4 linked regions of the Struthio camelus genome follow. The protein of the gene in region 3 purifies or fractionates together with the protein of the main gene of each other region. This does not show direct contact. Links are inferred from orthologs where the notes say so. Each region holds a gene or a part of one and is shown on either strand. Other genes may lie near its edges. The genes, in order: SNTB1, SNTB2, ADRA1D and UTRN.

Region 1 (7,457 bases), on a different chromosome or scaffold from region 3:
CATAATGCAACCTCTAGATTATGAAGGTCTTCAGGCATTCCTGACATCTTCATAACCCCAGCAGAGACAATGAGTAACGACAGCCGCACGCTGACTTGAAAGCCAGCAGGCTCCCTCAAGGCTAAGGGGTGGATTGCTCAGAGCGGTTAAGAGGGTGCAAGCCCCCACTAGCAATGCCTCGGGCAAGCGATGACCCAGGTCAAGCGAGAGGTCCACCTCCTGGTGCAATGGAGACATCCGCATCATGGCTGGAGCCGGGACTGCTGCATCCCAGCACGCAGAGGAGTGGTTTCCCTGGGGGAGTGAGGAGGGATAGTTTTGGCATGTTCCTCAGCAGGACTTACTTAAACTTGGCTCCTGCAATGTTTGGGATCACTGGAGGAACTGGACTCCTTTCCAGCTCTCTCATTACTTGTCAGGCTTCCAGCACTGGGCTTCCAATGCCGTCCTTCCTTCCTGTCCAGAACCGTCTGCCGTACTGGTTGATGTCAGGGTAACAATATGGGAACGTCATTATCCAGGCCTGATTTTGTCTGAACTCTTGTCATTCCTCCTGTTTCCAGTTAAAAAGAATTTCAGATGAACTGCTTTTGAATAATTGTTGCTAGGCTGGCAACAAAAGAAGGAGGGACAGCAGCGCTATATGGGTTTGAGTTGTCTCTCAAAAGTCCTATATGTGGCCTTGCAGTGTTCTTGCTGTCAGAAAGTCAGTTTGTTTACATAAGACGTGCATACTGACCTCTTTGCCTGAAAACAGGAGAAAACAAGAAGAGCAGACAGTGGCCTGAATTTCTGTCTCCAATACGTCCCTCCAGTCAAAGCTGTGTCTGAAGAACTTCCTCAGTGTCACAGTCACAACCATTTCTGCATTGCTTTTCCTATATTTTCTATTCTCGCATGCTCACAAACTACTAAGCCCTTCCCCTTGCTTCTGCAAACAAAGAGTTCCTCAGGTACCATCACTTTGCTTGTGACCTGGATTTACTTTGGTGATCTTTGTCACTGGAGGTAGCTTCTGTGTTTTCCAACTGCCTCTCTTCTTCCACTTTGCTGATACTTCTTCCGCCTAGCCCATTGGCCTTAAATGAACACCCAGGTGTCCGTAGACCAAAGATCGATTCAGCAGCAGCTATTAGCATTATCTGGCTTAATAATTTGTTTATATTACATGAATGAAAGGGGCCGTGATCTAGTTCAGGCTTTTGTGTGCTCCTAAAATATAAATGGTAACAGATGATTGACTTGTTTGAAAGGGTACGCTTGTTGTGGTAGACGCTTTCAAAAGGGCAGGTCATCTAGAGCAACTTTTTCTAAGCTGTGCCTGCACTGGAAGCCTTTCTAGACACTCGAGGCTGGAGCAGGGAAGGTACTGAGCCCTCTGCTCATCCCACCTAACACCTCGGCTTCCTCGCAAATTGTCACGACTACCCTGAACACTCCTATTGCAGTGGGGTTATTATGGTTTATGTCACATACATCACCAGGAGGAGAAGTTTTGGCTGAGACTAAGAGTTTGCACCCTGTCGTGCCCTAAAAACCATTGGGGACCAGCACTGGACTTTGCAGTAGCAGTTTTCTCTGTTGCTAACCTGACTACTCAATAGCTATACACCTGTGTACAAATCTGTTTTTATCTTTTGCGCCTGCTCCTGTTATATTAACCTGCATTTCAGAAGCTGCTCTTCTAGATGTGATTTACAGACCTGAGGCAGGGTCAAGGACGGTAATGTTGGCTGGGATCGAGGGGAGAAGTCTCATCACGCCTTTTCTTCCTTCCCCATACTCAGCAGCCACAAGTTGCTATTGGGGTGCATGCAAATAGGAGCTAGCACCTCCCGGGACAGAGAAGCAAAGACTTGAGGTATCAATGACTGCAGCCTGTCTCCAGGCTGCGAGACAACCCAGGAGACTGTTTGCCTTGTGACTGTACCTTAGCATCCCTTCCACTATCTTCTTTTTACTTATATTTTTAAAACTACAATATTACCTCTATTTTCTTACAGTTCCAAGGTGGGGATGAAGGGGGAGGAGGAGGCAACGAAGATTGCTATAAAGACTCTTTCATATGAGGCACTAACACCTCAGGTGCTGGCACTGGGAAACGTTATTATTTATCTCTGCTGGAGTGGGAAAGGAAAATAGCTGGAACAAGCACAGTTCTCAGTGACATGCAGTGAATTGTCTATACAACACTGTTCCACGGGAACTCCACAGGAAAACCATTCACTCTGAGCAAACACGGGCCAGCTGCATCGTATACTGATGGAAAAGTGCGAAGCATTAAGAATTTCCTTTCCATTCTGCATTACTTTTTAATGACAGGACAGAAATCATTTTTTCTTGTAAATTTTCTGGAATGACTTTAAAAAATACATAGAGACACATCTCCATTAGCAGTAGCATTGATTCTTTAGTAATACATAGGAAAGAATATGAAATAATGGGTAAGAGCTAATCCCTTGAGAAACAGAAATGCCTGATTTTGTAACTTGGCCTGGTCACTTACAGCTGCAGAGCAATTTGAGTGCTGTGATAGTCCGCACTGCAACACCTAATTTTTGCACGCCTTTCCTTTTCTCCTCATCCTTGCTCTCAAGTAACTGAAGCTGCTGGAACCCAATAAGCACATTAATTCTCTAAGCCTGGCACCTTTTGGAATGGGATTTAAAAAAACCACCCAGGATGCTGCACAGGAGCTACCTAAATTAGCTAGCAGGAAATACTGGAGAACAGGGTGTGTTACACCCTATTCCTTTCTTAGGGCTTAGACATCTTATTCAGGTTTAGTGGGACACTCTGGATTCACAGCCCTGAATACTTAATTATAGCTTTTCTACCTTGCATTAATTAACGTGAGAAATTAAGAAACCTGTCTACGGTCTGCTTTCTCCACCCACCTGCTATCCTTGAATAACCCACGGCCTGTGGGTTAGCGCTCTCCTTCCACCCCGGTTTGCATTCCTGCCAGGGGAGGAGGCACCACAGGCTGCCGATGAAGGACAGGGGCCCCCTTCCACCGGCTTTTGCTGGGAAGGGAACGCATTTTTTGTGGTCCTACAGACCCTGCTAAATCGAGGCACGATCACGAGGGGAATAGCCAGTATGCAGATCCTTTGCTCAGCCCGTTAACCTGAGAGCAGCGTACCCAGAAGTGTACCCAGAGCCTACCCAGAAGCAAAACTGCAGCGTCAGAAGTGAACGGCACTGCTCTAGAGAGGAGCAAGATGCTGCACTTCAGGCCCCGCGTGCTCTGAGGAGCACGTTAAGGGGAATTAATATTAATGGGAGCTGTACCTCCCGCTCACTGTGCACCACACGCCCAAATCCCCCAAAGCGTTGCTCCCACACACACTGAACAGTCCAGAGCTGTTGCGCGGTTCAATCCAGCTCATGAACGAAGCGGGAGCCAGGCCACCGAAAGGGCAGTTCAGGAGCTATGCAGGGACCACAGAGTGGCACCGCCACAGAGCCAGCGACGCCAGGGCTGGTCCAGGTCCTCAGTGCGGCAGTGTTGTCCTCCTTTGCGCCCGAGTTGGAGCCCTGAGGCCTGCACCGGCACCTGAACTGCTTCCCAGGAGGATGGGAAACGCGGGTCTGCGAAGAGGGAAACACAGCCTTCTCAGGCCCTAAAACCTGGTCATGAAAGGGTGAAGAAAACAGCCTCAAAACGTACAAAAGCATCCCTGACAGTCATTCACTACCTTCATCCTACACCGTTCAACGAGTGCGGGAGTGATGCTTGGGGGGGGGGGCGGTTGGGGTAGGATGAACTGTGCAGCTCCCATTGACTTTGTCATTCACTACCTTCATCCTTGAGGGATACTGCCACAGCTTTCATTCTACTTTGATACAACTGAAATTTAGAGGATATTTGTGCCACCTATGTGTTTCAATCCACCTATTTTAAAGAGAGGCCTCTCTTTTTCTCCTTCACACAGGGGAAAACAAACTCACGTTTTAGCTAAACCTCTTCTGCCAATACCCGCAGATCCTCATTGATTTATTTTCCCTCACGGCTCCATGCCCTTAACTCAGAAGGCGAGCTGCTAACTGTCTCTCAGGAGGTCCCTCCAGCGGTGTATGATGGCAGGCTCCACCCGAGGAGAGCCACCCGTTATAGAAAAGAGTAAAGAACGGGGTAATCTGCGTTTTCCCTTCTTCCCGAGTCGGGAGACGGGGACCGTGAGTACTTCGGCGATTGCTTTTATCAGTGGGCCCGGCTGGGAAGCGGCAGCCCACCCGGTTGTTCGGACGTAGCCTTGGCCACCTCGGGCGGGCTGCTCCCACGCTGACACGCACCCGCGCGGCGGCGGCGGCGGCGGCGGGGGCGGGCGGTGCGGCCCGAGGGGGCGGCCGCTCCGCCCCGCTCCGCCCCGCTCCGCCCCGCTCCGCCCCGCTCCGCCCCGCTCGGCCGCCGCCGCCGCCGCCGCGGGGAGGGAGCGCGCCCGCCGCCCCGCGGGTGAAGTCCGGTGCGCCGGGGCCGCGCCGGGGCCGCCGTGGCTCGCCGTTTCCAGCATGCTCCAAAGATGGCGGTAGCGATAGCGGCGGCAGCGGGCGGCGGCGGCAGCGGCGGGCGGGGGCAGCGCAGCGGCTGGCTGGAAGTTTTGGTGCGGGAGCGTTGGCACAAAGTGCTGGCCAACTTGGGCGGCGAGGCGCTGGTGCTGAGCGGCGAGGAGCGCCCCGACGGCGCGGCGCACAACGGCCTGGGCGGCGATGGGGCGGCGGCGGCGGCGGCGGGGAGCCGCGGGGCCGAGGGCGGCGGCGGGGCGGTGCGCACCGCCTTCACCGACCCCCCCGAGCAGGTGCCCGAGGCCGTCTCCAACAAGAAGCGGTGCGTGAAGGTGCTGAAGCAGGAGCTGGGCGGGCTGGGCATCAGCATCAAGGGGGGCAAGGAGAACAAGATGCCCATCCTCATCAGCAAGATCTTCAAGGGGCTGGCGGCCGACCAGACCCAGGCCCTCTACGTGGGGGATGCCATCCTGGCCGTCAACGGCACCGACCTGCGTGATGCCACCCACGACGAGGCGGTGCAGGCGCTCAAGCGGGCCGGCAAGGAGGTGCTGCTGGAAGGTAGGGGCCGGGCAGCCTCGCCTGCCCCCCCTCCCCGGGGGGCAGCTGCTCAAGGGGTGGTGGAGCCGAGCGGGTCGGGGGTGGGGGGGGGGGCGGAGATGCCTCCCGGCGCAGGGCCGCTTCTTCTCCTTCGGGTGTCGTTCCCGCGGCGGGAGTTTATTTTCCCTGCCCTGCGCCCCCGAGCTGCGCGGGGATCCCCGACGACGCGTGTTCAGCGTTTAGCCCCTCGTTTAGAGGAGCTCCCTGCCCCGCCGGGCACCCGGGCGTTAGCCCTCGTCCTCCAGACGGCTGGCGACGTGCCCCGTCCGTGCGGGACGGCGGAGCCCCCAGGCCGCCCCGTCCGTGCGGGACGGCGGAGCCCCCGGGCTGACCCGTCCGTGCGGGACGGCGGAGCCCCCAGGCCGCCCCGTCCGTGCGGAGCCCCCGGGCTGACCCGTCCGTGCGGGATGGCAGAGCCCCCAGGCCGCCCCGTCTGTGCGGAGCCCCCGGGCCGCCCCGTCCGTGCGGGATGGCGGAGCCCCCAGGCTGCCCCGTCCGTGCAGAGCCCCCGGGCCGCCCCGTCCGTGCAGAGCCCCCGGGCTGCCCCGTCCGTGCGGGATGGCAGAGCCCCCAGGCTGCCACGTCCGTGCAGAGCCCCCGGGCCGCCCCGTCCGTGCGGGATGGCAGAGCCCCCAGGCCGCCCCGTCCGTGCAGAGCCCCCGGGCCGCCCCGTCCGTGCAGGACGGTGGAGCCCCCAGGCTGCCCTGTCTGTGCGGGGCTGCGGCTCCCCGCCGGGTCGGCTCCCGTGCTGAGGGCCCGCGGTGCGAGCGTGCCGCATCCCTGCAAAGCGGAGGGTTTCGTTTCACTCTCCTGCAGGGTGGCAGGGAGAGTTTTGTAAGAAGCAGCTTCAGGAAGCGAGCCCAGAGCACAGTTGTGGTACGCGTAGGAGGGAGGGTGTCCCCCAAGCACAGATGCCGGGGACCGGAGTGGTCACAACGAGCACAAGGTTCCCCAGGACACCGAGTTCATGGAGAGAGACGCGTTCACATGCTTTTAATCGTTGTCTTTTCACAAGGATTAATTTAGTTGCTAGACCTCCGAGAATGTACAGCTTCAAAAATGCCCTTGGCGCGTGTTTGAGAAAGCGATTACATCTTTGCCCAAAGTTCATTGCCCCAGAAGTGGCTGGCACTGGGACACGCTGCTGTGCCTTGCCCTGTGCCAGCTGCCTTCCCTCTGGGCCGCAGGCCCTGCTGGCTGATCATTCCCGCAGCCCTTTGGGTACCACATGGTTTTGTCTCTTGGGGCACCGAGGATCTTTTGCTCTTATCCTGAGGAGCAAAGGGAAGCGTCACTGCAGGTAATGGAAACACACTTGAGGATTAGCTGTGAACAACCAGCTCCAGCATGAAGTTAGGCACAAAGCTCAAGAACAGGTTCTGTGCACTAAAGCAAGGGCAACAGAGACAGTTTTGCTTGGGTCTACAGCCGTGTTTATTGAGAAACTATTTGATGTTGTCCACATTACTGTGAAAACTGCAAAGGAGGTGTTACCCCAGAGGGTTTTCACGTGCTGTGGACCATTGCCTCCTTGTTCTCTTGGGTATAACCCAGCTGCGTTTCTTCTTCAGCAAAACCACTTACGGAGATACCTGCAACGTCTCAATGTAAAGTTCTCTCTAAGCTCTGAATTGGGACTATTTCATCTACATTTTTTCCTTGATTTGTTTACACAACATAAGGACTTCCTAGGGTGCAGGCCAGACAGAAGCTGACCTTTGCTGTGATCTAGTGAGTAATGTATATACTGCTTACAAAACTCTCTCCTGTGAAGCGCATGCAGTAACACCACCTGAACACACTGCTGCTGTACAAGTCTTTTAAAAGGCTCGGTTTTGTTCCCTGTAGGAGCGAAGATCAGGTAGTTTCAGCACGGGCTCTTAGCACCCTCCTTATCTCCGCTGCTTTTACCATGCAGCTGTTTTCTTGGATTTCTTTGCTCTGTGGAGGTGTAGGCTGATGTGCTTCAGTGATTGTTTCTGCAGTACAGTTGTCGGAATTGTTAATTTGTAGATCCAGAGCAATTTCAGTAGTCATCCTTCTGTGTAGTTAAAATATTCTGACACTGTACTGTCTATTTTTCCTGGCTTTCTCCTGCTATTTTAGCAGTGTAACCAAAATCAGAATTGTCCAAGGTGTTGCCCCAGGAGATGCTATTCAGTTCAGCAGGGAATCTCTCTACATGAATGGCTTGTGTAAACAGGCGGTTTAAAACAATTGTCTGAGATTCAATTTCCCACTTTGAAGCTCTTTCTTCAGTAATGGTGTAAAATGGTCTTTTTATTACAAAAGGAAGGAAAAGCAAAAGTTTTTTTTTTCCTTTAAAATATAGGAGGGAGAGCCTTGTA
Region 2 (7,771 bases), on a different chromosome or scaffold from region 3:
CGACCCCCCCGCGCAAACCCTTCCTCTCACGGGCAGCCCGGCGGGCGCTCTCCGGAGACTCCCGTTTCAGCGCGCGCGGAGCACGGCCCCGCCGCACAGAGCGGCATCGCTGCACACGGAAACCCGACGCGAAGGCGCCGCGTTCACCTCTGCGCCGGCCGCAGCTTCTCTGGCCCAGCTTCCCCCAGACGCCAGGCAGCTAGTTTCGCTTCTTAGGCCTCCTCTCGAGAGGAGATGCAACAGCAAAGAGGGGCGGCAGGAGCCAAGCCCGTTGCAAAGGAAAGGGTCACCCCCTCCGCTAGCAGATAATTCACGCTGTCAGCAACTCTTAGCCACAAAATTGCACAATTAATAAAAACAGAAGACTCCAAGAATAGCCGTGGTGCGGGCATGGGAACAACTAACTGCAAGGAAAGCGTTCCCCCGAGGAGCCCGGGCCGTGCTTCACCTCCAGCAGGAGCCGGGTGCTCCGCAGCAGCGGGCGCAGCCGCACGGGGCAGCCGGCCGGCACGCTCCTTCCACCCCGCCTTGCTGGCTTCCCCGCGGCTGCGGGCCTCCGTTTTAAAGCCCGTGGGGTTGTCCCGCTTGGCGGCGGGCAGCCCAAGACCCCCCACCCGGGGTGACGTGATTCCCCTCGCCATGGGGAGCCCACCCGGGGGGGTGTCCTGCCCCTGTCCCCGGCTGGGGCAGGGATGCCGGGGCGGGAGAGGGCGTCCCCGTCCCCTGCTCTGGGCGAGGACACCGCCACCGGGGTGGGATGTCCGTGTCCCCGTCCCCACGGCGGGCAGGGACACCACTGGGAGCCGGCTGGGTCCCGGCACCGGGGACGACCCGTGGGCTGCCCGTGTGCCCGGTCACCGGGATGGGGGGCGTGCAGCACCCCGTAACGGGAGAGCGGATCCCGGGCGGTGTCAGGGACCCCGGTAATGGGACGAGGACACAAGGGGTATCCGGGAAGCTGGTAACAGCGAGGGGGCCGGGAGTCTGGTAGCTGGGACAGGGGAGGGGGCAGGATCCCGGTAACGGGAAAGGGGTAGGAGGGGGGATCCAGGAAGGGGGCAGGACCCCGGTAACGGGAAGGGGGTAGGAGGAGGGGATCCAGGAAGGGGGCAGGACCCCAGTAACGGGAAGGGGGTAGGAGGGGGGATCCAGGAAGGGGGCAGGACCCCAGTAATAGGAAGGGGGCAGGAGGGGGGGATCTGGGAAGGGGGCAGGACCCCAGTAACAGGAAGGGGGTAGGAGGGGGGATCCAGGAAGGGGGCAGGACCCCGGTAACGGGAAGGGGGCAGGAGGGGGGGATCCGGGAAGGGGACAGGAGGGGGGGATCCAGGAAGGGGGCAGGACCCCAGTAACGGGAAGGGGGCAGGAGGGGGGATCCGGGAAGGGGGCAGGACCCCGGTAACGGGAAGGGAAGCCCGGGACGTGCAGGACACCCGATAACCGGGACAGGGGAAGTGCAGGACCGGGGTGAGGGGACAGGGAAGCAGTGCAGGACCCCAGTAACGGGACGTGGCCTGGGGGGCTTGTGGGACACCCGGTAAGCCGGCCGGTAGAGAGGGAGGATCCCAGTAACGGGAAAGAGGGCAGGAGGGGGGGGATCCGGGGATGGGGCAGGACACCCGGTAACCGGGCAGGGGGAGGGGGCAGAATCCCAATAATGGGACCAAGAGGCAGGACACCCGGTAACGGGACAAGGGGGAGGGGGCAGGATCCCAGTAACGGGACAAGGGGGCAGGACACCCAGTAACCGGGCCGGGGGAAAGGGTAGGATCCCAGTAACGGGACAAGGGGGCAGGACACCCGGTAACCGGGCCGGGGGAAGGGGTAGGATCCCAGTAACGGGACAAGGCGGCAGGACACCCGGTAACGGGACAACGGGGGAGGGGGCAGGATCCTAGTAACAGGACAAGGGGGAGGGGGCACCCAGTAACCGGGCTGGGGGAAGGGGCAGGATCCCAGTAACGGGACAACGGGGCAGGACAGCCGGTAACGGGACAAGGGGGAGGGGCAGGATCCCGGTAACGGGACAAGGGGGCAGGACACCCGGTAACGGGACAAGGGGGCAGGACACCCGGTAACGGGACAAGGGGGCAGGACACCCGTAACCGGGACGGGGGAAGGGGCAGGATCCCGGTAACGGGACAAGGGGGCAGGACACCCGGTAACGGGACAAGGGGGCAGGACACCCGGTAACCGGGCCGGGGGAAGGGGCAGGACACCCGGTAACCGGGCCAGAGGAAGGGGCAGGATCCCGGTAACGGGACAAGGGGGCAGGACACCCGGTAACCGGGCCGGGACAAGGGGACAGGACACCCGGTAACGGGACAAGGGGGAGGGGGCACCCGGTAACCGGGCTGGGGGAAGGGGCAGGATCCCGGTAACGGGACAAGGGGGCAGGACACCCGGTAACGGGGCCGGGCCGGGCCAGGCCGGAGGGGCAGGACACCCGGTAACGGGGCCGGGCCGGGCCGGGCCGGAGGGGCAGGACACCCGGTAAGCGGCAGCGGGGGCCGCGACGCGGCGGTACCTTCGAGGACGACCTCCCTCCCGGCGCGCTTCAGCGCCTGCACGGCCTGGTCGTGGGTGGCGTCGCGGAGGTCGACGCCGTTGACGGCGAGGATGGCGTCGCCGAGGCGCAGGGCGCCGCACCGCTCCGCCGCCAGCCCCGGGAAGATGCGGGAGATGAGCACCGGCATGCGGTTCTCGCGGCCGCCCTTGATGCTGATGCCCAGCCCGCCCGCCTCCGCCTTCACCACCCGCACCCGCCGCACGCCCGCCGGCACCGCCGCCGCCGCCGCCTCCGCGCCGCCCCACTCGGCGCCGTTGGCCACGCCGTTCAGCGCCGCCGCCGCCGCCTCGCCGCCGCCGCCCGGCTCCGCCGTGAGGCTCAGCGCCTCGCCGCTCAGCTCCGCCGCCACCCGCACCCAGCGCTCCCGCAGCAGCAGCTCCAGCAGCCCCGCTTTGGAGGCGCGGGTCCACACGGCCATCCCGCCGCCGCCGCCGCCGCCGCCGCCCCGCGCGCTCCCCTCCCCCCCCACACCCCGGGGCGGCGCTCGGCGGCCCCGAGGCCACGCCCCCTCCTCCCGTCGCCCGCATGGCGGGCTCTGATAGGTCGCCCGCCGGCTCGGAGGGGCGGGGTTCGGCTCAGCCCCCCCCCCGCTCTGATTGGGTAAGGCGGAGGGACGGGGCGGGGAGGGGCGGTGGGGCCCCGCCCCCGCGCTCGCCTCAGGCCGCCGCCGCCGCCGCCGCGCTCCTCAGGGCGGGAGCCCGCGGGCGGGCCGCGCCCGAGCCGGCGCCGCCGTCCCCGAAGGGCCACACTGTCCCCAAAGGGCTACTGTCCCCAAAGGGCCACACTGTCCCCAAAGGGCCACACTGTCCCCCAAAAGGCCGGCACTACTGTCCCCAAAGGGTCACACTGTCCCCAAAGGGCCAGCACTACTGTCCCTGAAGGGCCACACTGTCCCCGAAGGGTCACACCATCCCCGAAGGGCCAGCACTACTGTCCCCAAAGGGCCACACTGTCCTCGAAGAGCCACACTGTCCCCCAAAGGGCCGGCACTACTGTCCCCAAAGGGCCACACTGTCCCCAAAGGGCCAGCACTACTGTCCCCAAAGGGTCACACTGTCCCCAAAGGGCCACACTGTCCCCCAAAGGGCCGGCACTACTGTCCCCAAAGGGCCACACCATCCTTGAAGAGCCACACTGTCCCCCAAAGGGCCGGCACTACTGTCCCCGAAGGGCCATGCCATCCCCAAAGGGCCAGCACTACTGTCCCTGAAGGGCTACGCCATCCCCGAAGAGTCACTGTCCCCAAAGGGCCACATTGTCCCCCAAGGGCCAGCACTACTGTCCCCAAAGGGGCCACGCCGTTTCTGAAGGGTCACACCATCCCCAAAGGGCCAGCGCCGCTGTCCCCGAAGGGCCATGCCATCCCTGAAGAGCCACACTGTCCCCAAAGGGTCACACCATCCCCAAAGGGCCAGCACTACCGTCCCCGAAGGGCCACGCCATCCCCAAAGGGCCACGCCATCCCCAAAGGGCCAGTGCCACTGTCCCCAAAGGGTCACATTGTCCCCAAAGGGCCACACCATCCCTCAAGGGCCAGCACTACTGTCCCCAAGGGGCCATGCTGTTTCTGAAGGGCCACACCATCCCCAAAGGGCCAGCGCTGCTGTCCCCGAAGGGCCACACTGTCCCCGAAGGGCCACATCATCCCCAAAGGGCCAGCGCCGCTGTCCCCGAAGGGCCATGCCATCCCTGAAGAGCCACACTGTCCCCAAAGGGCCAGCACTACTGCCCCTGAAGGGCCACGCCATCCCCAAAGGGCCAGTGCCACTGTCCCCAAAGGGTCACATTGTCCCCAAAGGGCCACACCATCCCTCAAGGGCCAGCACTACTGTCCCCAAGGGGCCATGCTGTTTCTGAAGGGCCACACCATCCCCAAAGGGCCAGCGCTGCTGTCCCCGAAGGGCCACACTGTCCCCGAAGGGCCACACCACCCCCAAAGGGCCAGCACTGCTGTCCCCAAAGGGCCACACCACCCCCGAAGGGCCAGCACCACTGTCCCCACAGGGCCACATCATCCCCAAAGGGCCAGCACCGCTGTCCCTCAAGGCCCACACTGTCCCCAAAAGGCCACACCATCCCCAAGGCCAGCACCACTGTCCCCACAACCACACTGTCCCCAGGGCCAGCACCACTGTCCCCAAAGGGCCACGCTGTCCTCAGCTCACACCGTGCCCAAAGGGCCAGGACTGCTGTCCCCAGGGCCACGCTGCCCCGGGCGCAGCCTGCCTTTCCGGCGGCAGGACAGCGGCACGGGGACACCACCAGCCGCCCAGGGCTGGAGCCCCGCGGCCACCCCGGCGCCACCTCGCAGGCCCCGAGGCCGGGGCGAGCTGCTGGCCTGTCCCCGCAGGAGGCAGCGGCTCGGCCGCCGAGACGCCGAGGAGAGGGCGGACGGAGCGCGCCAGCCCTACAGCTCTTCCTGCTTTAGCGAGCGAAGCCAGAGCATTAGGGGGAACTCCGCCAAAGAAATCCTCTCCCCCAGGAAAGCAACTTCCTTCTGCGGGCCAGCGTCCCTGCATCCTGCTCGCGCAACGGCCGATCAAGGAATTACTCGCGCGGGGAGCAAAGATTTCGCAGTCAGACGTTGAGTGGCTGCCGCAACGCACCGGCGCCGGCGAGCTCGGCAGGTTACCAGCACGGGGGCAACGCTCCCGTTACACAACACCCCTATCCCGTCACCTTCATTTACGCCCAGGGTTCGTCAAGCGCTTGGACAGCAGCGCGGCCAGCCTGCCCGCTCGGGGACCCCGGCCGCTGCTGCGCTCGGCTCCCGGGCGCCCGCCGCCCCAGGGCCCTGCCTTGCTGATAGGAGACCAGGGGAGGCCGCTTGGCAGCGTGCGGGGGGAAGATGCACGCGCGAGGGACAGTGGTCGCTGCAGAGTAGCTTCTGCAAGAGAATAAACATCATCCTGAGTCACCGTTTCATAAATCTTCTCTCCCCACAGAAGAGCTTTGCTCGCGTTTCTTTTTTTTTCTACGATACTGAACCGGCAGCTGTTTATTGCCCCCGTTTTTCGGAGCCTGTAGTTTCGCAAGGCTGCAGTGACCAGATCCTCCTCCCCGATCCGTCGGCAGTCCGGCCCCCAGGCTGCTTGCTGTCCAAGGACTGGCCTCGGCCACACGCAGGCAGCGGGGGCAGCCCGGTCAGCGCAAGCCTCGGGGGCGAGACGGACTGCAACGGTGCTTCGTGGGAGGCCTGTCAGCTGGAGGGGAATCTAGCTGGCCGGAATAGGAGACTTTGAAGGAGGGAAGGGAAACGACAGCGCAGCAGCACGGGGCTGGTACCCGTTCCTGAAACGGTAGGGCGAGCATCAGCCTTGTCACAGAGAGGGCAACTGGGCAGGACGGTGCACCCAAACACATACGGCTAAATACCCTTGGCTGCTTCCAGGCCGGGCTTTGCCTCCCTGCAGCAGGAGCTCGGCGTGGAGAACGTCAGCAGCAGCCCTCACTGCGCTCCCGTCCTCCTCCGGAGGCACCGCCAAGCCCCGAGCGCGGGGACAGCCGCCCGACACCGCCGCAGCCCCGGAGAGCCAGCTCTCCTCCCGCGGCTGCGCGTTGCCAGCTCCCCATGCCAAAAGCTTTCCAGCACCCTCCTCCCGATCGAGCCACCCAGATGGGGCGCTCTCCTCTCCTCTCCGCAGCAGGGGCTGGGAAGCAGGAGGGCCAAGCGATGAGGGGAGGTAGCGACAGCAGCGAGGAAAAGTTTGCAAAGCAAGAGCGTGTGCATTCACACCCCGGTCCTGGTGTCCCCTCCCAAGGCCAGGGGCAGGAGAGCTGCTCCACGCACCGGCACGTGGCAGCTCACCCACCGTCAGCCTGCGCCCACCAGCACTGCAAAAACGGCTGTGGCCATGCACGACTACAACGCTAACAAGCCGCTCGGCCCTGCCTCTCCCGTCCGACCCTCTCTCGAGGCAGAGCAGGAGCGCACTGCACAGGCGTCAGGACAGGGCACATGGGGACTGCCCGTCCCTGCCCTGCTGAGCAGGCACTCGGCACCCCTCTGTCCATCCGGAGCCCAGCTCACTAGGCTTCCCGCCTGGCGGGACACGTGAACGTGACTGCTGTTTGAGGGGATGGGAGCCCCCTCTGTCCCACGCAGAGCCACCAGCAGTCACGAAACCCATCTTGCAGCTGCCCGGGACAGCACCAGGAGAGAGAAACCAGCGCCGGGGCCTGACGTTTCCCAGAAGAGCAGCCACAGAGAAGGTAGAAGATCTGGGACGATGCCTAGCCCTCGCAGTCACCAGTCGCTGCCAATGAGCAACCCAGACAGCAGGACAGGCATGACCAGGGGAGTCCTACGAGACAAAGGTGTCCTTGGCTCCTGATTCAGACTCAGGCCAGAGCCAATCTGACCTGCTGCTGCTCAGACAGCAGGGAGCCCCACAGGGCAAGGATGATGCCTGAGCACGCAGCCCTACAGAACAACGGGGTTTATTACTACAACATCCTAGGAAAGTAACATACACAGTTTTTGTGGCTGGAGCAACTTGTTCTGCTCTTAGGTGCCAAATTTCTTCTGTTGGATGGGTGGTGGCAGCTGGGTCTTGATGTCCATGAGGGGCCGCTCCACCATCACAAGGCAGTTCTCATCCAGCAGATCCGCAAAGAGCAGGGGCTGCAGGGCAGGGAGGGGACAGGAGATGACAGCCCTGCCAGGGACAGGGCAATGTCTCTCCTTGCCCTGCCTCAGCTTGCTGGGTTCGACCACGTACGTGGAGCTGGCTGCAAGGCAGCTCTGGCTTAACCTTAACCAGGGACATCGCTTAAGGGACGTGCTCTGCAGAGAGCTGCTGGGGAAAAATCAGAGCCCGCGAGATGGACAGCAAGCGGCTGCACCGTGATGGGGACATAGAGACTCAGAGCTGCTGGGGCACTGAGAGCACATACGACACCAGCAGAGTTGAGGAACAGCTCAGGAAGGCTGCGCTCAGACCATGCCAGGACAGCAGGCATCTTGCTCCAGAAACAGCAAAGGAGGGAGCCTGTGGCAGGATCACCTCTGCACCTGTGGCTCCTTCCAGCTAGCGGGGCATCCTGACAGCATCGCAGCAGCCTCCTTGCTCCCCTGGGCAGACCACAGGTCCAGGGCACCCCCTTCCTCAACACCACCCCTCCTCAGAGACAGCACATGCACAGCAACACCCACCTGGAACTTCTTGCAGATCTTGAAAGCGTGGAGTTGTCTCTTCCTAG
Region 3 (7,702 bases):
ATTAGCTTTAGGACGAAAAGTTGGGAATGAGATTTAGAGCTGGTTCCTACCTTTCTGATGGGCCAAAGAGGCAAGCATTGGGCTGGGGCTCTGTGTCAGAGCCTCATTGCTGTCCACAGAGATCAACCTTCAAATATTTGGCACCTCCATGACTCCCACAATTTCAAGACCCTTTGCAGACTACTAAAAATCCCTTGACATGCCTGAGCATGGCAAGGGAAACTGAGGCACAGCCAGGGTCTTACATCAAGAGAAGCTCATAGCAGCCCTGCTGCTCACTGCCTCAAGTCACACCGCATACTTCCTTGCTCACATATGGTAAAAACCTCTAACAGCAGCAACGGTTTTACTCCTTCAGAAAGCTGAGATACATTCACCAAATGCCATCCTCACCTAGAAAATGAGGCAGAGAGCTCAAAAGCACAGTAGCCATGTGCTGACACCAGACACCCCTCACAGCCTACCTGCCACCTCAGGGAGACCTGAGCTTTCAAGACATCATCAGTCCCAGGGCTGAATTATTCCACCTGAGGGCCATTTCCTAATTGAGTGGCTTCAGTTAGGTGTCTAATGGCCCTGGGCTCCAGCTGTGCCCTGGGGAGAGCTCAGCAGTGCCAGAGGGGAAATTATTCCCTTGGTCACGGTGCTTTGTTTCCATTCACTTGTGAGGAAGCCTTAAGCAAGAAGCTTTGAAAAATCCGGAGAAAAATTGCACATCTGGCTACAACATTTCCCTGGCTGTGGGATTATTCATACACAACTGCTGAGGTCCCAGGAGGGTCCTGGGACACACAGCAGACAGAGCCTCAGCTGGTGTAGCAGACCTCTCTGCTTCTGTGAGCTCTGCACAAAGGCCAGCATTTGGAAGTTATTTTAACTTTTATCCCCCTGGTTCAGCTACATCCCTCCACAGGGTTAACCCGGCCTCCTGAGTTAGGTGTTTTTTTGAAAGAACTTGCCAAAACTTACGGCACAACCCAAAGAGAGAACCCACCAGCAGAGACCCGCTGTCAGGGCTGGGAGAGCTGGGGCAGGACCGGAGGGTGCAACTCACCCGGGAGGAGCAGCAGTTCCCCTTTGCAGTTTGTGGAGCAGGAGCAGTGCTGGGCAATTGCCCAGCGCCGTCATGCCAGTGCAGATAAGACCTGGTCCAGGTCCAGATCCATGCGCGACATCAGCATCCCGGGAAGTTAGCGGAGACAGGGAGGGCAGAGGCCAGGCCCCCACCCGAGCCAGATTGAAAGGGATACTTCCTAGCCAGCCATGCCCTCCTCCTCTGCATGGCATAAACCAAATCCCAAATTGCTGGCTCAGGCTAGCTACATAGTGGAGGCCAGGCACACCTAAACTAACCCTGGCCATGACCCTGGCCATGCCTCTATCTGAAACACTCTCCACCAGAGGAGTTCACTCAGGGGGATCAAGCCTCACTCACTCTCCAACATCATCGGCAGTTCACAGCAGGGATGGGAGCACTGGTCACAGGGAATCAGACCCAGGTGCCCTCCCTCGAACCGGGAGGAAGTGGTGGAGGGAGGCAGAGGCTACAAAGTTGTTTGGAGACGGCTTTGTCATAAGTATAGTCTGTTAGAGACAAATCTGCTTTCTCTCTCCCCAGTCTTAACTTCACTAATTGAAGTGCTGAATAAATGATAAATTAATTAAATCAATGATTACGTTGCTATTTTATTTGGCTGCTATTTATTTTGATTGGTTATATGAACTTGACTAATAAATATCGAATAAGTGCTAATTAATTTAATCAGTCTGTTGCTGTATTGTTCATCTATCTGGTATATATGACTTGACTCCATGCATGAATCGTGTCCTCAAAGTTTGTCCCAAGGAGCAGGTCCCCAGGAGCACAGCCACAGCTAGTGGGGTTGGGATGGGGAAAGGAGTGACTTACCGAAAGGCAGGACAAAGAAGAAGGGGAACCAGCAGAGGATGAAAACGCCCACGACGATGGCGAGAGTCTTGGCTGCTTTTTTCTCACGGGAGAACTTGAGGAGTCGCACAGAGAGGGAGCTCCTGAAGTTGTGCCCCTTGCTCCGGGCACTGGAGAGAGGCTCCTCCAGCACGCTCCGGCAGTGGATGCGCAGCACCACCTCCATGGATTTATTCCTCTCCTTCTTGACCCCCGCCTCCAAGCTCCGGGTGGTCCTCCTGGCCACCACATAGATCCTGAAGTACATCACCAGGATGACCATGAGGGGCAGGTAGAAGGAGAAGAGGGAGGAGAACAAGGCATAACCTGGTTCCTCCGTGATGCTACAGATGCTTTCGTCCGGTGGTGGTGGCTCCTTCCATCCCAGCAGTGGCCCGATGGAGATGACCATGGAGGACAGCCAGACCACCACGAGGATGACCCCTGCCTTCCTCTCTGTCATGATGGTGGGGTACTTGAGGGAATACTTGACACCAATGTACCTGTCCACAGAGATGATGCACAGGCTCATGATGGAGGCGGAGCAGCACAGCACGTCCACAGCTGCCCAGATGTTGCAGAAGATGCGCCCAAACACCCAGAAGCCCAGCACCTCCAGGGTGGCCGAGAAGGGCAGCACCGTGGTGCTGAGCAGCAGGTCGGCGATGGCCAGGTTGACGATGAAGTAGTTGGTGACCGTCTGCAAGTGCCGGTTGCAAGCCACCGAGAGGATGACTAGGATGTTCCCCACGATGGCCGAGAGGATGAAGGCGGCCAGGAACACCCCGACTCCCACCGCCTGCACATCCAAGGTGAAAGTCAGCGTGGTCCCATTGCCGTCGGAGGGGTCCTCGGCTTGCAGCCCCCAGGACTGGTTGGCACCGCTCTGGTTGCCCTGCCCCGTCCGGTTCCCACTCAAGCTGGCATTGCTCGGCTCGGGGAAAGTCATTGTAGAAAAAGTCCGGGCTCCATGGAGGGCGATGCGTCGGCGGCGAAAGCGATGCCGAGGCGCAGCCCCCCCGGCATGATCCCCCGCAGCCCGCTCCGAGTCTCGCTCACCACCTCACCCCCACCACCCACCCCTTGGCAAGGAGAGAAGGAGGGGGAAGGCAGGGTGCCCGGCTCTCCCCCTCCCACCCCCCCCCCGGCGCTCTTCCCCAACCACCCTCCCCACCCACCCCCCTCTCCCCTCGCCCAGCTTCACATCGGGCGGGGGCTGCGCTCCCTCCCTGCCTCCCTCCCGCTGCCGCTCACCCGAGCCTCCTGCCCAGCCGGGGGGGCAGGGAGGAAGGAGCCCCCCCGCCGCCCTTGCATGCTCCGGGGGAGGCCGGGGGCTGCGCTGGGCACCGGCCGGCAGCGCTTGGCGGCTCCGGGCGGCTTCTCCCAGTTGCAAGAGAGAGCTCCGGCAGAGGAGGGGAAGGGGGGGCTGTGGGACGGGCTGGGGGGGGGAGGAGGAGGAGGGAGGGACGGGGTTTGGGGGGGGGGTCAAGAAGCCTTAGCGCATCAGGTGCTGCCGGAGGAGGAAGAAGAGGAGGCGGAGGACGAGGAGGAGGAGGCAACTGCTACTTTGCAAGCAGAGGCGACCCCCCCCTCCCTCCCGAACCCCCCGTCCCCGTCCCCGGCCCGGGCGAGGCTCAGCCGGCCGCGGTGCCAGCGGAGCGCTGCGGGGGAGCCCACGCGGGGAAAGGCAGACACCCACTCGGGGGAGGGCGGGAGCCCCCTGGGCGGAGGGCAAGTGCCCACTCCGGGGAGGGCAAGCGCTGCCTTGGTGGGGGAGGGCGGGGAGAAGGGCAAGCGCCCACCCGCGGCAGCCGGCGCCCACTCGTGGGAGCGGTCGCGCGCGGTCGCGCCGCCCGCCGCCGCCGGGGGGCAGCAGAGGGCAGCGTTTGCCCGCGGCGCGGTGCGGCGGCCCCACGCGCGCTGCCGGCCCCACGCGGGCTGCCGGCCCGGCGGCGCGAATTATCCCACCAGGAGGGATGCCCTGCAAGGCTGGGAAACTCCCCCCCGCCTCCCGCCCCCTCCTCGCCCCCCAGGTCCAGCATGCCACCTGGAGGGATGTTCTCCAAGGCTGGCAAGTTCCCCCTATGTCCCGCTGGCTCACCACGAGAGGTGTCCTGCAAGGCTGGGAAACTCCCCCCAAGGTCCATCTTCCCACCAGGAGAGAGGCTCTACAACGCTGACAAGCTCCCACTGCGTCAGGCTGGAAAACTCCCCCCATCCTTCCGCCCAGGTCCGGCATCCCACCAGGAGGGATGCTCTACAAGGCTGGCAAGTTCCCCCCTCACACCAGTGTCCCACCAAGAAAGATGCCCTGCAAGGCTAGGAAACTCCCCACCCACGTCCAGTGTCCCACACCCTGCGAGGCTGAGCCTCCTTTCTCAGCCAGCGTGCAGGGGCACCATCCTTCCCAGGCCAGCCCTGCGAGTCCTGCCCTGCCGCCTAAGCCGAGGACTCCAGCCCAACCTGCACCCAGGTAGCACCAGACGGGGCTGCAGACGTGGCCTGCCCCTTGTCCCTAGTACAAGTCCCTTGTAAAAGCAGAAGGAAAGACCAGTGCCTTGTGTTCAGGGACAGCCTGTGATCCTCTAGTTCGCTGCTACGACTTAGCCCTGCTGCAAGACTCCGAAACTTGTGATTAAAACATATAGGCGCATATTTCTAGCTAATTTAAACAGGGCCTTTTCCCACTGATAACAGCAGATCCTGTTTACACTGGTTTTCTCCCAGTGACCCTACCCTCCTGCCTCCACACATTGCAATGGGGACTGACCCTGGTGTTGAACAGGGGTTTTTCTTTGGCTCCTTCCTGCCATACACAGGAAATATTTCTTTGGAGTGTGTTTATCCGTGATTTTTCAACTTTTCTGTCTTGAAAAAATTGCTCTAAAAAGCAGTCCAAGTGGACAGCAAGGTGTTTTAACTGTTGCTCTGATAGAGCAGGACCAAGTCTGTTAATTCGCTTGGTGATGTGAGTGGTCAAAAAAAAAAAAAAAAAGAAAAACTTTATGTTTATTTCCTTATTTTCCTTGACAATCATGTCAGGAAATGACACATTTTGATCTTCTTTCTTTCTTATTTCTTTCATGCACTTTTTTTGTCCCTTAGGGGTTCACCCTCCTTCCTAGAGTTGGATTTTTGACCCTGCTGGGAAGAAGAAATGTAGAACAACTAGGAAACACAAGCAAACAGGAACAAATACTGTACGAGGAAAATGTTCAGAAGGCCAGTTTTGTTGTTTGCTTTTTTTTTTTAAATATATTTTTTAAAGTGAATTAAAAAAAAAAACACCAAACACCCAACTTTTGAGGTCGAATTACTCATCTTCCCTATGTTTCGATGAAAACATGTCAGCCAGCAAAATGAAGTATTGTTTCGCACTGGGATGCTAAACTCAGCATGGGATGATCTCAATCCATGGAATTTTGTAGCTGTCTCTTTGCAGCTACACAGATAGCTGTCTAGATAAATATATCTTGTCTAATCTGCCCAGTGACACACAGAGATAAGGAAAACATGTGCCTTGCTCCAAAATTAAGGCTGAGTTGAAGTTCTCTCGTAAAGCAGGATTCAAACCACCTTTTTGATTGGAAAGGAAAGGCTTCTCCTAAATGACGTATCAAACGATGTTAGGGTCAAGAGGGCATCGGCCCCGTGTCTTGTCCTCCCCTCCTCTCCGCTCTCGGGCAGCCAAAGTCACTTTGCCCACGATGCTGAGATGCCTTGGACCGCAGGGCTTGGAAGGGGCACAGGAAAAGCCAGACGAAACCCCATCACTCTGAGGAAGAGAAAAGCTAAGCCACTCAGGATCAATCCTGATGTAAAACTGCCATCTTTGGAGGAAATTTTATCCCTGGTCCAAGCTGAGGAGCTTTATTTCTGAGGCAGGGCATTTTCTTGCTGGGCAGGAGAGGGATGGAGGGGCCCTGCTTGCGGTGCATGAGCGTGGGATGCTCTTGTGTATTTTACCTGCCAGCCGGGGCAGTGTGTCCCGCTCGGTTACTGCGGCTCAGCTAACGAGCATCAGCTCGTTACGGTACAGTTACCCCATTGCTTTCCATCTATTTCCTTGCTTCAGTCTAAACCAGGGCTATTGCAGTTAATTTCAGCTAATGAGGAACAGGTTTATACTAGTGCACTTAAACCAAAATAAAAGGGTCGGTGCAGGTCCGCACGGAGGAACCGAAGCGCCGAAGTGAATGCACACAGATCTGCTAGTGCATGGACCCTTGCCAATCGGCCGGTTTTGAGCTGGGAGGAAGTACAGCTCCTTCCCCCTTTTGACATGTTACAGCTCTTTCCTCCCTCTTTTTCATCCTCTAGCTGGGGATAGAGTTCATCCTAGGACTCGAAATTTCAGGCAAGAGTAGCTCCGTATAGTGGTGTGAATGGGGCTTTTTGAATAAAAGAAAGAGACATAAAGCCAGCAAGCACGTGGTAGTGTTTGTCGCTCGGTAATTACACGCTAAGCCCGAGCCTTGAAAAGGAAAGGCAATTTTGCAGTGCAAAAGACCGCAGCTTAAAATATTTCGATCAAAAATTTGCATATAGCCCAGATTGACAAAAGCCGCAGCCGGGAGAGATCGAGGCTAGATGCTGATGGTGATTGACCTATTTGAGCAACATGGATCAAGTGAGTCCCACCCGCCGGCGCCGGCATCCACCCTGAGCAACCGGCGTCCGCTCTGCCGACTCAGGCGGGTGTATTAACTCACGCTTTCGTTTGTACCCTCTGCTGCGTAAATGGACTCGGTCTATTAAAAGCTATTTCCTTTCCTTGCACACTTGCCTCATTCAGCGGTACACAAGCTTTCAGAGTGCGGCCTCATTTTCCGCCAGCTTGAAAGAAAGCCGTGCAAAGTTGTCTCCCTCTTTCTGGAGGAAGAGCAGGGATATTGAGAGCACAATTCACGTGTTTCAGGGATGGGACGGATTGTGCCCTCGCTGTACCCTTTCTCCAGGAAGATTAGCTCAGGTGCGGATACCTATAGCATCTCCAGGTTCCAGAGCTAGGAGAGACGGATCCTACTCACATTAAATACACACCAGTGCTGAACTGATAACATTGAAGTGATGGTAAAGACAGGCTAGCCTTGCTGGGGGCAGGCAATTCAAAGATCCTCCAGGGAAAGGAGTCTGGCCAAGGCCAGTCTTTGCCGCATGTCCCAGCAGGGCCATGTCCAGCTGGAGGTTATCTCTCCCAGCTCCTATCCCCAGCTGACACCAGGTCTTCAAGCACATTAAAAAAATGAACTGGAAGTGATTGCAAGAGATGAGTCAAACCTGTGCTGCCGGAGGCCCAGCTGTCTTGTAAAACAAAGTAAAACAACAAAAAAAGCAACCCTGAAATTAATGGTTTGTTTGGTTGGCGTTGCTGCAATTTTATTTAAAGCCCAGTAAAATCAGGCTACATTTTAAATGTTTATGTCTTAATTAATGAGGCAAGCAGGATGGGGAAAGGAAATAGCTTTTATTAGCTAACGGAAAAAGGAGGTTAAAAAAAAACAACTGAGACGACCCTCTTGTGACACCTACCTAAAATTACCCAGAAATGTATGGTAAATTGTCATTCCCGTTGGTTTCCCCGTTCCCTTCAACCATCTCAGCCATTATTGCATCAACATGGTTACTGCATTTATCAGTTTTCTTCCATGTATGTGAATGTGTATGCTTAGTTCTTGCTCTGCTTTTCAACTGCTTATGATCCCTTCGAGGTCACCTTCTGCTCTTCCGGTAGGAGACCCATTGGCGGTCCCCGAACCACATGTGGGACAGTGG
Region 4 (7,117 bases), on a different chromosome or scaffold from region 3:
CTACTAAGCAAATCAGCCGACTCAGGGCTTCACAATTGCTTACAAGAACACAAACAATATATTTATTTTTATAATAGCTTTTTGCCTCATGACAAAATAACTCCAACCTGCTTTCACTGCATATATCTTGTGGGAACAGATAAATTACTTCCCACCTGAAAGGAAGTTTTTAATTTATAGTCTAATGTTCCTGGTATTTCCAAAGCAAGGCTATCTGAGCTAGAAGGAAATGCTAATACAAGCTAAATGCACAAATTCAAAAGAGACGTTGTTAAAATATTAGTTTGCAAAATGCCTCATGTCACTATCATTATTTCCTATTGCTATAAAAAATAGCAATAATTTTAATCAATTGAGAGGGGAATTTTGTACAATAATCTGCTTGCAATACAATGTGAATTGCTTTGTTTTGCTTCTGCTGAAAATTACGTGAAAAATTAGCAAAATAAATAAGCAGTGGTATACTGCTAAGATGCCAACAAAGATTATTCGATTACCGTAGAGCGCCTAATTGGCTTCAAGAGTTGGCATTTTATAGAAACAGTGCTGTAAGGGCAGCCCCTTTCAGAAGGTTTCATATAACTGACATCTTTTTCTAGTCCCTTAAAGCACGGTAAGGAACATCCCCTCAAGCGACATGGTGACATCCATCTGAACAATCAGGCAATTAAGGGAGAAAGAAATCAAAAAAAAGAAAAGCACACACACAAATCAAGTCAAATACTGCTATGCTTGCTATGCTGGAAAGGTTTTGCCTGGAAGAACAGAGTCATTCCCACAGCATGGGAGTGCCCTCAAAAAGCAGATCATAGTCCTACAGTTTATGATAAGTTAGGAACATTATAATGCAGGGAATTTCATAGAAAAACCCTGCCACTTGCTTAAAAGCACTTCTATTGTGGCTGATATATTGCAATCTTTTTTTTCTAAACAGAGAGCTCTCAGCTCAGAGAGAATTAAACAGGACTTAAGAATTGGCCATTAAGTGCTATCTGCACATGCATATAAAGCACTTGAACAAGCAAGTAGCTGCAACTTACCTAGGAAAATTTATATATTAGCCTGGCCCCAATTTTAACAGGCACCCTTACAATAAATCATCCACACACAAACAAATATCACAGCCTTAGCTGTGTACACCCACTGACACTTACCTACTAGAAATACCTGAAGGACTGAAAAGGAAAGGCTCAGAAGGATACACCTCCTGTTATTCCACAGACAAACTTTTTAAAGGTTTCACAACCCTAATGTTCATCAATTAATTGTATGGTTGGTTAAAACACTTACTTTCCTCTCCCAAGATTAAGTTCCCCTAAAAAACAAACTTCTACAAAAGAAGAAGAAAATCCCAGAAATAGTTCTCAAAAAGAAACAACATACACCACAGATCAAATGTTTCTTCTGAACATGTGCCCAGGTTAAAAACAAAAATAGAAAATAACACACAAAAAAAAGCATACTGACATTTTCCTAGTTCCAACCTTCTAAAAAGAGAGTCAACTAAAATAAGTTGCATCTCACCAGCAGGCTGAACGCATGCTAGAGATTCTGAACAACATCAAATGGCTCTCTGACCTGTACTTTTAGTGAAAACTGCAAACTCATTGACAAAAGCAAATCCATTAATGGTAATGAGTTTTCTTGACATTTTTCTCAACTTTAACCGTTTGGATTGGCCCTTAAAGGAAAAGTTTCTGATCTTATATAAACTGGCATATCTCCAAATCCACCTCAGCGTTACCAGAAGCAAGCATAAGTAAGACTAGAGTCTCAGCGCATCATTTTGTTCTATTTAAAATTAGTAATTCTGCTTCTAAGGCTTAAGTGAATTGTTGTCTTGCTCTATAAACCTATACTCAGACTATAGCTTTTTCAAAAAAAAAAATAATAATAATAAATCTACTGATCAGTAGGTTCTGCATCAATGAAGCCCTGACACCAATTCACAAAATAATCAGTCCCTATTTGTCAATTACTGTGTCTCTAAGGCATATTCACAAGTATTCAGAATCTTCAAATCCTGTTCATCATGCCAATCTAGCTTATCTGGCCCTGGCCATCATGAAGCAGATGAATATTGAGCCCATGAAATTTCAACCAGGGTGAGTAGGAAGGGACGGAATGAAGAAAAGGAAAGAGAAACATTCCCAATTTCTTCTTCCTCAAAGCCCCACAAAAATTCTTTCCAAATTACAGGAAATATTGCTCCCAGGACATTCCAAACTTAGAACAGATACACACACACACACACACACACACACACACCCCTCCTTTCCCCAGTTTTGACTCAAAAGAAAAATCCCACCATGATCATATGCTGTACTGTAAGGGGGGCTGGAACTGTTATAAGTATGTACATCCAACAGTCTCAGGAAGTATAGTAAGCAGAACTGCAGAGAATAAATACAATTAAATATTGAAATCACTGACGTGATGTACAGTTTCAGAGAAGTAGGGACATTAAGGCTTCCAATGCTGTCATATCATGTTTCCATTGTTTAAGAACCTATTCTTAGAAAGGGAGAAAAAAATGAAGAAGTAGGCAGAATCACTGTGGAGGAAAAAAAATAATACCCTTTATGTAAAAAGGAAACCCACGACAAAAGCACTACCAAGTGCCTCTTGTAGATGTTAAACAGCCACAATTAGTACAGAGCTCGCAATGGAGGAGTGCCACAAAAAACAGACTGCAAACGGTCTCTCCTTCGGACTGTTTCTTACCACGTCTTTGACAACCTGTTGCTATTAGGTTCGGCAAACTTGAATCAAGTTAATAAAAGCAGTTTGCATCAGGTATAGAAGACAAAAACAGACGCACATGGTTAGATCCCTTTATCCATCATAGCCTTGAAAACATATTTAAACATGCACTCACCCGGTGGAGGATAACAAGTCTGTGTGACAGTATTCCAAGGCATAGCAAGCTTGTGCTTTTTCCATACAGCTTTTTTGGCTGTTTGAACATTCATGACCAAGCTTACTGTTCAGAAACAGGAAAATGAAGATGTAGAGGAAGTACACACTAATACCCACACAAGAAGTGCATGCTGGGATTTGAGGGGGAGGGAAGCATTGGTTTTCCTCAGAGAGTTTGACATATTCAGCCATAGAGTGACTGACAAACCAGTCAGGAAACAAACTTTTTACAGTTAAAGACTGTAAATAAACAACAATAGACTTAAGGCTAATTAACAGTTTCAAAAAAAAAAAAAGAAAAGAAAGAAAAATGCACAGATGACTATTTCACTTCGCTTTCTCCATCTTTATGAAAATTGAGTGCTTCTAGGCTTTCAAAGCATTCACAAGTTTCTATGTACAGAAAGTAGGAAATACATTAGCAATTTTCCTGTGCATTTAACAGTAACTCTGCAAAAAGCTTATAATATTACTGCAACACTTTTTCTACGCATTTGACAGAACATCAATCCTGGTAAGTATCCACATCTTTTACTGGTATTTTAACAAAGCACATGGAAATTGTAATGCAAGGTTTCAGCACAAAAAGCAAGATCTGCAGATAAACCTCTATGCCAATGCAACAGTTACAAACTCTGATTCGGTATGCAATTTCCATTGTGCAGTAATTGCAAACAAAACATGCCACAGTACAGTAAGGCAGAAGCTGCATAATGTAAGGGTATGTCAGTTATTTTAGAAGAAGGCCTTTAAACTTCTTTGACCATGATGACAGAAGGCAAAACCAATCCCTCCCCCTTCAATATCCTGTTGTCAACTTTAGAATCAAATTGAGATTTTTTTTAATCCTGTAGTTGTGAAGTGTATGCGATTCAAAATGATCCATTTTAGGATATTAAACTGTATAGATTTCCACTAGTCACAAAAAAAGTAATGCAAGGCAGGAATAAAAATAACATGGAAGTACAAGCATTACAACCAGAGAAGAGTTACATATAGAATTTTTTCAAAAGCAGTAAGACAGGGATGCTATTTGGTTTATCTGTGTTGGCGCACTGTGTTGTAAGGCAACTGTTCTAAATTCTGCTTTTATCTCTTTATGCATATTCAGCTGGGAAAGTTTACTGTGTCACATACCAGATAGACACTGAGGGCAAGGTTGGGGGGGGTGGGGGAGGGGGGAAGAGCTCAAGATAAGATTTTTCTTTTAACCCCTTTCGGTTAGTTGGTCTTACTTTGGATTTTTCTATTTTAACAATTCTTCATAGTTGAAGCCTGAAACATTTGCACAAAAGCGTCTTGTTTCCATGAATAAAGACAGCCATACATACACAGGGCTAAACCAGACATTTGTATCCAAACTTTTCTGTGGCCTGTACAACAAACGAGCAATAGGGAAGGGAAATAAAATATTAAAACCAGGATTCACATAAAGATATTTATGAACAAGCAACAATGATGTATTTTGCAATGGCAAATACAAATCCAAACCTTGTTGGTTCAAGCAATTTACAAGCACACAACAAAAAGATGTTGCCAATTCTAGGGAATATAGAATCAAAATTAGCAGGAGGTCAGGTACATATGCTAAACATTATAAACAGCACCTAAACTCTTTCTTCAGGTCCTAATGAGACTGATTTGCGTTCCTTAAGAGACAGCCCTTCCGCTGATCCAACGTTTCATCTCACCTACCGCACATAGCCCTTGCCTACTGAACAATAAGCCCCATACACAAACACATTAAGACTCTGCTCATCGGATACTTGCCAAGACTAAAGGTTATGTTGTTTAAGTTTCAGGAATTAATTGTTTTGGTACAACACTTTCACCCTTTCCATTCCTTAATAAAGGATGGTGCAGTCAGTAAGAGAAGTTAGAGCAACACTGAGTACCCCTCTGAGCCTTCATTACTCCTGGAATTTCAGTATTAAGGCATGGGGGGGCAGGGAGGGGATGAGGGGAAAACGTTAATTCACCAGAGAGCTTTCACAGAACCTGAACTCTTGAGTTTTTCTTACCAGCAGTAATTCGATAGCACATCTTAGTGAAACTGGTTTCATCCAACACCAAGTTTTACTTCAAAAATCCAACACTTTAATAATAATATACATTGAGAACATTTACTGCTTTATGAAAGATTTTTTTTGAACAAAATAAATTTCTTATTCAGATAGAGGCAGAATTATGGGTATAAGTTAGTTTCACATCAGAACTCATCCATAAAGAAGTTAGCTTTAGAATGGCAGAAATATTTTTTAATAGTGAGGCTTGGGCCTCTGCCATAATCTAATGTATTGGATGTGAAACCCATGTGTTAACCACAAGAACTGATAAGCAAGAGAGAAGTGGTAGCCATGGGGAAAGTAATCCTAGAAGAAGGCAAAAGAGGATTTTCAGTTTTTTAAACAAATGCAAGAGTTCAACATACCATCCATAAAACACTTCATTCATTAGGGGAAGACGGTCTCATTCCTACCACTACTGAATTCAATAGGCGATTTATTTAGCAGCTCTCTGTCTAGAGTATGTGCTTTCTTTTATTCACTCTGGTGTTGACAGCAGTAATGAAATTTTGTACATACCACTGCCTCTATTATAGCTCAACAGCAACTGGCTGCCTGCCCTAGCCTTCTTACCGTCATGTAAGATAAAAAGACCAGCCAAACAGACCAGCTGAAACTACAGTGGAAAAATAAAAGTAGAGTGAAGGCTGAGTAAAAGCCTAGTGAGCAGAAATCATATGTTTTAATATTCACCTGCATACTACAAAGCATGGAGAAGAACAAGGCTAGGGCCAACACAAAACAAAAGTCACTTCAAGTTTTCAGAAGGACTGCAGCTTAAATGGCACCTCAGTTCTTCTAGAAGAACCTGAATTATAAACTTAATACATGAAAACATCATATATCAATAGCTCAGATCATAAAATAGGGAATAGGAAAGTGAGAAAAAGTAGAGGAAAAACAGAAAAACGATTGCATCTGGTCATTTGAAGGTGAGTTCATAAACACATAAGATCACTTCTCTATCCTGGTCCCAGCAGACACGAAGTCAGCACCAGGTCCAAAACGAAATTAAGTTCACAGTTGCAAACAATAATGGGAGTGGAAGGCAACATCCTTTAATTATAAAATCCTCTGTAAACAATACAGTGTTGAATACGATTGGTTTCCATCTCTTCTTTGCTTTCTGGTCCTGGGAGCTTTCCAAGTCCCTTTAATGCCTTGACTCAGTGAAGAGGAAATTGGCTACTTTTTCACCGCCTCCCTTCTTGTAGCCTCATTCCAAGTAGGCCTGGGTTAACCCTTCTCTGAACTTCTACCCATCCAGACAAGTCTGCAAAGAAAGGCTTGTTTTACCGAGGAAGAAAACAAACAAAAAAAAATGTATAAGATTTCTTATAGGAGAAGAACAAGTAGATGTAGAGTTCCTCCATAACCTTCCTCCCCTGTTCGTCATGCTAAAGCCAAGGACTTGTTCCTTCCTAGAGAAGGAGCATGCTCTTCTGCAAGGTTTTTATACTACCTCTCTAGGCCTCCACTTTATAACACTGCTATAATGAGCTTCTAGTTAAGCATTTCTCATGCTGTGTGATATTAATAACCCATAATTTTATTCACAAGGTTTTATTTCACCACAACAACATGACAAGATTTTTTTCACTGGCCCAACAAACACGTTTTGAATTAGCAGATCAAACAATTCTGGAACTTCAGTAAGCAAATAAAAGAGCTTAGAGGACAATGTTAAAGAGAAGGATGCTGAAAAGGCAGCGACAGGAACTGAAACAGAAAGTAATGTTTCAAGTGCCTGTCTAATTTTGGTGGAAATTGGTAATTAATTCAACCCCCTACTCCCAGAAAACCCAGAGCAGCAACAACTTTGGATGGATAACAAAGAACTTCTAGCATCTCTTTCGAAACCTTCTTTCACACAGCAGGTTTGTGTCAGCATGAAACATTCTTTTGAAAAGTGAATTAACAGTATAGTAATAGTTAAGCCTTTGCTACTGTGGGGTGGAGTGGGGGGGAGAAGAACACACATTGTTTCAAGTATTACAGCTATTAGAGCTCTATGGATAACATACAAATATCATCTTAATGCTTGCACAAAAGGCTCAGCATGCAAAGAGTTTTAGTAATACTGTGCTCGACAGATTTGGTTCTATTAAAATAGCACCTATGTGGCTGTGCGG

What was found.
Region 1: the proteins of ADRA1D (region 3) and SNTB1 purify together in Homo sapiens (tandem affinity purification; 4 studies listed by BioGRID and IntAct, with this or other methods). This does not show direct contact. The link is inferred for Struthio camelus from reciprocal best matches to the Homo sapiens genes ADRA1D and SNTB1.
Region 2: the proteins of ADRA1D (region 3) and SNTB2 purify together in Homo sapiens (tandem affinity purification; 4 studies listed by BioGRID and IntAct, with this or other methods). This does not show direct contact. The link is inferred for Struthio camelus from reciprocal best matches to the Homo sapiens genes ADRA1D and SNTB2.
Region 4: the proteins of ADRA1D (region 3) and UTRN purify together in Homo sapiens (tandem affinity purification; 4 studies listed by BioGRID and IntAct, with this or other methods). This does not show direct contact. The link is inferred for Struthio camelus from reciprocal best matches to the Homo sapiens genes ADRA1D and UTRN.

Annotation. Positions count from the first base shown.
Region 1 is NC_090943.1:159,111,239-159,118,695, reverse strand, and holds the start of SNTB1 (beta-1-syntrophin), read left to right. Parts: upstream 1-4,441; 5' UTR 4,442-4,526; coding exon 4,527-5,070; intron 5,071-7,457. UniProt on the Homo sapiens protein: Adapter protein that binds to and probably organizes the subcellular localization of a variety of membrane proteins. May link various receptors to the actin cytoskeleton and the dystrophin glycoprotein complex.
Region 2 is NC_090951.1:1,656,834-1,664,604, forward strand, and holds the start of SNTB2 (beta-2-syntrophin), read right to left. Parts: upstream 3,009-7,771; 5' UTR 2,988-3,008; coding exon 2,528-2,987; intron 1-2,527. Other genes in the region: UTP4 (U3 small nucleolar RNA-associated protein 4 homolog), read right to left, coding at 7,077-7,193, 7,725-7,771. UniProt on the Homo sapiens protein: Adapter protein that binds to and probably organizes the subcellular localization of a variety of membrane proteins. May link various receptors to the actin cytoskeleton and the dystrophin glycoprotein complex.
Region 3 is NC_090945.1:83,656,403-83,664,104, reverse strand, and holds the start of ADRA1D (alpha-1D adrenergic receptor), read right to left. Parts: upstream 3,016-7,702; 5' UTR 2,877-3,015; coding exon 1,910-2,876; intron 1-1,909. UniProt on the Homo sapiens protein: This alpha-adrenergic receptor mediates its effect through the influx of extracellular calcium.
Region 4 is NC_090944.1:84,645,733-84,652,849, forward strand, and holds the start of UTRN (utrophin), read right to left. Parts: upstream 3,015-7,117; 5' UTR 2,973-3,014; coding exon 2,879-2,972; intron 1-2,878.